Canis lupus familiaris: one gene and its partner. Each later gene encodes a partner of the first gene's protein in a complex. Links are inferred from orthologs where the notes say so. Each region holds a gene or a part of one and is shown on either strand. Other genes may lie near its edges.

The links. The genes of interacting proteins can lie anywhere in the genome.
Region 2: ACTL6B (region 1) and DPF3 share a complex: the UniProt entries of both Homo sapiens proteins name them as parts of the BAF complex. The link is inferred for Canis lupus familiaris from reciprocal best matches to the Homo sapiens genes ACTL6B and DPF3.

Annotation. Positions count from the first base shown.
Region 1 is NC_049227.1:8,998,163-9,001,809, reverse strand, and holds part of ACTL6B (actin-like protein 6B), read right to left. Parts: intron 2,147-3,647; coding exon 2,049-2,146; intron 1,388-2,048; coding exon 1,293-1,387; intron 1,225-1,292; coding exon 1,118-1,224; intron 448-1,117; coding exon 358-447; intron 199-357; coding exon 137-198; intron 28-136; coding exon 1-27. UniProt on the Homo sapiens protein: Involved in transcriptional activation and repression of select genes by chromatin remodeling (alteration of DNA-nucleosome topology).
Region 2 is NC_049229.1:46,575,693-46,579,439, reverse strand, and holds the start of DPF3 (zinc finger protein DPF3), read left to right. Parts: upstream 1-1,324; 5' UTR 1,325-1,357; coding exon 1,358-1,389; intron 1,390-3,747. UniProt on the Homo sapiens protein: Belongs to the neuron-specific chromatin remodeling complex (nBAF complex).

The sequences.
Region 1 (3,647 bases):
TGTACCGTGGGCATCTGCGCAGCCACCCTGCCCAGGAAAAAGAGACTCTGCCTGGGGGTGCTCACAGGGGACCAGAGGTACCCTCTGAATCCCAGGCCTGCCCCCTGTCCCATCCCTCAGCCATGGGCTCACTTACTGCTCATCATAGGGAGAGTCTGAGACCTGTAGCACAGAGGCCTGGAAGTCCTGGATCACCTCCTGGGGACCCAGGGACACGGTGAGCAGTGAGGGCCTGGTGTCCCTCCTCAGCACCCCCAAGCCACCCCTGCAGGGCCTCTCTGTCCCTTCCCCTCTACTCATGGCAGGGGAGCAGGAGCTGGGAGGGATAGGGGTTGTTTCAGGGGACCGTCTCCTCACATTGCACATGTAGTTATGCCAGGACTTGGAAACCTGGGGGAGCTTCTCCTTCTTCTTCCAGTTTGGAGGGGCGCCCTCCCGTACAGGTTCCTGGGGGCACAAAGCCTATGAGCATCCTTCCCACTCCACTCCTGCCCAGCCCACCCTGACCACACCCATGCTCCTGCAGCTAACAGGCACTGAGTTCTTTGCTCTGCTGCCCACAAAAGGTGTTCCTCCTCCTTCTCTCTCAAAGGAGAGAGAATGGGGAGAGCCTGTCCCCATGTTTGCCACTCATGCAACAGGTACAGCTGATCTGAAAGGCCTAGGCTGGAGAAAGCTGAGGGCATGGGGGATACAGTGGGAGACGAGAACCTTAAAGAAGTAGCCTTTCCTGAGCCACATTCCATGTGGGAGTCCAGGGCGGACCCTTTCAGTGTCTCAACACTCACAGCTGCCGTATATGCTGTAATTCCACTTCACAGGGGAAGGAACTGAGGTTCGGAAAGCTTTGATCTGCTCTAGGTCACACAGCTCTTACATGGCAGAGGCAGACCTTGAACCTGGGTCTGCCGCACTGGCCCTCATACCTCCTGTTACCAGCTAGCTGTATGACCTTGGCCATGTCCTTCAGCCTGTCCAATCTCTGATGCTTTGATTATAACTTAAGGAACTGGACTCAGGGTCCTCTGGGGGCTCTGACACTCCTCTCTCTGATATCTAGTGGGTCAGTGGGTCAACTGTCATAGGGTAAGTGCCCCAGGCTCCCCAAAGACACCACCTTGGCAGCAATCATGTAAGGTGGAATGATGTCAATGGCCATTTCCTGGAAGAGCTCCCGGCACTGCATGGAGATGAAGTCCCCTGCTAGGGGCGACTTGACAATGCCTGGAAAGGGAGGGGGTGTCAGGGCCAGGTCCTCCCCAAGGAGTCCCCGACCCCTGTTGAGGCCCCACCTTGCTGTAGGACGTAGCCATCATGTACTGGGATGGCGGTGGTATGGGTGGCCCCACTGTCCAGCACTAGGCCCGTGGAACGTCCGTTTGCAAAGCTGGTGTGGGACGGGTAGGTCAAAGAGACAGCAGCAGCAAGTGAAGGGACTGGGACTCAGGTCTGCCCTGGTCACTCTCTGATCTCCTGGTCCAGTCCATTCACACTCTGCAAATCTCTCATTCTGGTTTATGACCCATCACAGGACAAAGGTTCCTGAGACTCCTGTCACTTCTTCCCTGTCTGAATCACAACTTTTCCCTCTTTTTCTTTCTTCTGAGCTCCCAGTTTCTCTTTAATCTTGGTTCAGTGTTCTGTGGGCTCCTTGAAATGAGGGGCCATATTGCCCCAGTGCCTAGCACAGGGGTCAACATAAGGTAGATCCTTAAAAAAATGAATGCTGATTGTTATATATTCTTCCTTGTTCTCTTCAGTTGCAGCCCCTGCTGTCTATGGTCCAACTCTCCCTCCTTTCCTCCCTCTTTGTCTCTCTCTCTGTTCAGTCTTATCCAAGGAATAGGAAAGAACTGCTGATCTGGCCACCCCAGGGTCAAAGGCATTTAGTGTACAGGGGCCCCTCTGCACTAATGGAGCACAGGGTGGGTGTCTGCCCATCCAGGACACTAATCTCCACAGAATCAGGTCCAGCCTCCAGCTTGACACACCACATAAACCCCACCCTGGCCCTCCACCCAGCCAGAGCAGCTCAAGCCAGAGGATACGCAGTAAGTACAGCTGTCTTGCATAAGAAGAAGGCAGGAATGTTGTATTGCTCGAACATCAGCTCTGTCAGCTTCTCCCGCTTGGCCCGTGTGTTCCACTGGGGAGAAAGTGCAGGAGGGGAGGATTCAAAAAAGGAGAGGCCCAGACACACACACACACACACACACACACACACATACACAGAAGACTTGGACTGGGGACAGAGGTCAGGTCTCTAGATCCACATATAACTCTAGAATGTGAGAAGTACAAAGAATTTTAAAGATTATAATCCAAACCCTGAAGTAAACCAAACTCAGAGAGGGAGAGTGACTTGACCAAGTTCACACACAAAGCCCTTGGTAGAGCTTGGTAGAGTTATAGTCTCTTGACTTCTGGCCCACTGTTCTTTACTGTATAATTCTATCAGCCTCCGGTTTATCCCTCTTCCCCATTTAAGTCATCTCAAAGGCATGAAAGCTGGGAAGAGGGTTTCTAGTAGAAATTGTGGATTGAATACAAACATCCAGTTTTATCCCCTTCCAAGATCCCAGGAAAAGTATAATAAAGGGGCAATTTAAAAAAGACATAAATCCATGGCACCTGGCTGGCTCAGTCAGTACAGCATGAAACTCCTAATCTTGGAGTTGTGAGTTTGAGCCCCATTTTGGGCATAGAGGTTACTCTAAAAAGGGGGGCACCAGGGTGGTGCAGTTGGTTAAGTGCCTGACTCTTGGTTTCGGCTCATGTTGTGATATCATGGTTGTGAGATCGAGCCCCTCATCAGGCTCTGCACTCAGCTCAGAGTCTGCTTGAGATTCTCTCTCCCTTCCCCTTTTCCTCCTCCTGCTCATGCTCTGTCTCTCTAAAATAAATAAATAAATAAATCTCTAAAAAAAAAACCAAAAGACCTAAAGCCACAAAAGCCAACCACCCACGAGAAGATGCTTAACATTGTTGGCCACCATGAGGGATATGCAATTTGAAATCACGAGATACCACTTCATACCCACTAGAGTATTAATAATAATTAAGAAAAAAATGGATATAGAGAAACTGAAACACTTGTACATTGCCATTGGGAAGGTGAAATGGTTCAGCCACTGTGGAAAACAATCAGCAGTTCCTCAAAAAGTTAAACATAGAATTACCATATGACCCAGCAATTCCACTCCTACTTATGTATCCAAAAGAACTGAAAACAGGTACTGAAATAAATCCATATACACAACTGTTCATAGCAGCACTATCCACAATAGCCACAGATGGAAACAACCCAGAAGTCCATGAATGGATTAATTGGAAAAACAAATTGTGGTGTGGTATATCCATGCAATGGAATGTTACTCACCATGAAACAGAATAAAATACTGATATATGCTACCGCATGGATGAACCTTGAAACTATTATGCTAAGTGAAAGAATACAGACATGAGAGGTCACATGTTGTATGATACCATTTATAAGAAAGATCCAGAATAGATACATTGATTGAGACAGAAAACAAATTGATGGTTGGTTGCCAAGGGCAAGGAGAGTAGGGAGAAACTGGTTAATGAAAACATATTTTCTTTTGGGCTGATGAAAATGTTGGGAGGTAGAAAAAGATGAGGGCTAC
Region 2 (3,747 bases), on another chromosome or scaffold:
CCTGAGAAAGGAAGTGAGAGTGCAGAGCTCTGAAGAACTGGTGGCAATTTGGCATCTTCTCTCCCCCTTTCCACCCCTCCTCCGCTATTTTAGCTATTTGACCTGATTAAACAACTTTGGGATGTTAGCCAGATTTCTGTATGCTAACGAGGCCCCTATTCATGATTTAGTGCGATTTCATCCACCGGGAGATTCCCCGCTGCCCCGTGGAAGCCTGGCTTCACCGAAGTCTCCCAATTTCGTCGGGGGTTCGCCAGTGAGGAGTTCACGCTGACTTGGAGCAGACACAGACTCTGAACGCCTCGGGTCCTACCGGATTATTCAGTGGCAAATTTTTCCACCGTGTACCTAAGTAGTGAAAGGTGACGCCAGAATCGCGTGTGCTACTCCCCGAAAGAGACTCTGGCAACACCTTCTGTCTAGTTACTCTCTTTCCTAGTAGCAGAAAGCGTTTCCAAAAAGTTTCCTTAAACCTCCTCTGTCCCCAAGCCTAAAGGTCAGAGCGCCAGGTCCCACTTGGCTCCCCGGCCGGCCGGAATCTGACCATTTCAGAAGTTTCTGGTGTGTGTGTAGATTGGAAGAGGTCGGAGTGGGGAACCGCGCACAGCGACCACCGCGCATTACGTAACGAAAGCCCTGGCTGCCGGAGGGAGCGAGCCTGACATTGAGACATTCCAGGGGGAGGGGAGTTGCTGTCCTGGAGTCGCCGGGAACGGCGGCAGCAGTTCCAAGAAACCGAGAGAGAGAGAGAGAGAGAGAGAGAGAGAGAGAGAGAGAGAGAGAAGGTGGCCGAGATAAAGAAAACACTACAGGAATGAGAATGTTAAAAAGCCTTGGACCTAGAGCATTAGCAAACTGCTGGGCACGTGTAGTAATTTGTTAGACGAAACGGCAGCCTTCCAACTTTTGCACGGGAACGAGGGGATTTGCCCTTTGGGGGATTAAAAACGTAACAGCAAAGCCAAAAGCTAATGAATGGGGTTCAGTGGTTTGTTGGCAATACTTAAATATTTCTGTCCAGGAGCGCAAACTCTCTGCAATTATTTAGAAAGTAGGGACTCAAACCAAACTAGAATACTTTCCCCGTGCGTCTCCACTTTCCCAAATCCGAAAAGGAGCTGCTCTCGCGGTACTGCCCCTTTAAGACCTGCTTGCTCTCGGGCTCTACAAAAGGGAGTGACCTCTGGGCTTTGACAGCTCCCCTAATAACTACCACCGTGCAGGCCCCGCCCATCTGGCGACCAGCAGCGCCCATTGGCCAGCGGGCCGGTATCCCGTGCTCTGATTGGCTCGCCGCTTCCCCTGAGCGAACCTTTAGAACTCTGAGACAGACAATATTCTGTTACATTGTAGCAAAATGGCGACTGTCATTCACAACCCCCTGAAAGCGTAAGTAAGACTAAAAAATGTACATATTCCGCCTGGTTTCAATATGAAAAAAAAGGCGCCTTCCGCGTGCCAAGCGCTGCCAATGCACTGCGCTTGCAGGCGCCTGCAGCCGCGGCGGGGCTTCTCTTTTCTTTCAGCTCTTACTTCTTCATCTTCTTTTTTTTTTTACCCCCAACGCGCAGAAATGTCAAGAGATGCAATTAACAAGAAGAAAATTGTTACGTTTGTGTTCTGCTTAATTGGAAGACGCACGGAGAGGGGTTTTCGGCAGGGGAGCCAGGCGCTCGAGCGCTCTACGGGGGGGGGGGGGGGGGGGAGGCGGGCGGTCGTGGGCAGCTCGGGGACTGCACGGTCCCCCGAGTGCCCGGCGTCGCGGGATGGCGAGCGCGGCGCGGGGGGCGGCCGAGCTGGGGGCGAGCGCCGGGCAGGGGCCGCCTGGGTGCACTTGGCTGCGCCCCGCGCCTCCGGAGTCCGCAGCCCCTGCCCGGCTGCTGGGTCCGCCGGGGCGAGCGGACCGTGGCAGCTCCGGAGTTTGCAGGGCGCTTTACGCCTTCCGATCGCTCGCGGGGAGTTTGTGCAAACCTTCCGGAGTTGGGAGGACCGCAGGGGGAGCAGTGGGTCCCGGGAGCCCTGGGGCCCAGGTGATTGCCCGGGGGCTTTCCTGCCGGGGCAGCCCCCCGAGCGTGACCGCGCTCCGGGCGGTCGCCGGTGTGTCTGCGTGTGTTCGCGGGCGAACTGGGTGTAGTGTATTAACGACTCGGGTTAACTTGGGGTTGATTGGGAGGCAGGGAGGCTGCAGGTCTTATGAATGGTGTTCTTGCCTCCTCTGGGTGAAAAACCGAGGCGGGCGGAGAGGCAGCTTCTGCTCCCGGCCAGAGCGAGGGGCAGGTGCCTCTGGCCGCCGCCGGGAGACTTTGAGCGGACGCCCAGATCCCGGACGCAGGGGGGCGGGCTGGGCGAGGACATGCGGGGACCAGTCCCCGGGTCCGACTGCCAATTCCTGCCTGCCTGCCTTCCTGCTCCTTTTCGTCCTGGCTTCCTTCCTTCCTTCCTTCCAGTCGATGGAAATGTTAAGCCGCCAAGTCCGATCGCGATCGCGGAGCCGCTGGAGGCTTCGGAAAACTAGCGTCGCCCTACAAGGGGTGCTATTGGCAATGATATTGGCAGAGGAGAGCTCGCTCCCCCATCGCCGCGCGACGTGGGTCGGGACTCCCGGTCGCCGCGCGGCGTGGCTCGGGGTCCGCGCCTCTGGGACCAGGACTTCCCAGCCGGGGTGGGAGCCGCGGGCGAGGGGAGGGGGAGATGCAGGTGGGGGGCGTTTCGTGCAAAATTCTCCTGGCTGTGTGGCCGATGCCCGTGCGGGTTATTTCAACTCAGCGCACCGCGCTGGCACCCCAGGCTCCTCCTGGAGTTGAAAACCACGTTCGCACCGGGGGAGGGAGGGAGGCTGCGGGGGGTGTGGGGGTGTTTCCTAGCGCAAAGGAACGCGCGAGGGTAATCGGACGTGTTTGCACCAGCTTATCTCCCATCATTAATAGGGGAAAAGGTAGTAAGGTCCCCGGTTCGGAGTTTTTTTTTTTTTTTTTAATATACATGTATTAAAGCTGCGATTAAAGCTGCGATTAAGAGGAAGCTGGAAGCTGACGCCGATCACAGAACAGCCCCCGGCTTTAGTTCTCGCTCGCAAGCTCGGATACACTGCACTGGAACGCCACAACGTTTCAGCCAAGAAAGAAAATGTTTTACAGCAGAATAAATGGGCGTAACTTCGCCGCATCCTCGCTCCCCGGTCGCTCGCGCAGCCACACCGCTGATGCTGTGAGTTTCAGCCGAACCTCCAGCTGATTTGCAGTTTCCCCATTTCCAGCCGAAATCACATAGGCAGGCTGATGCCACCTGGTAAACTCAAGTTAGAGAAATCTATTTCACATGTGCGCCAGATTTGTTTCCTACTGGGAAAGCGGTACCAGCGTTACCTTGGAGCCCGCTCACGCGCCGGCAGGCGCAATATCTCTAAACGCTCCAGGGTTTGTTTCCCTGCCGGCTCCGGTTTTTTGTTTGTTTGTTTGTTTTTGAACTGCGGAAGGGTGCGTGTTTGGCGAGGGTGTCTGAGTGGGGTGGGGTTAGAGGTGGAGGAGGGAACAGAGAAGGGGGCTGGTTTAGTGGAATTAGTCCTGAATTATTAAACTTATACTTTGTAATAATTAGAGACAGTTGCAATGACATGTTTTGTAATTCTGTGTCGACACACACACACACACACACACACACACACACACACATACACACGCGCGCGCGCGCACGCGCTAGCATACACACAACATCCCTGCCTGCCTTTTCTAGACGGGAGTTGAGTGG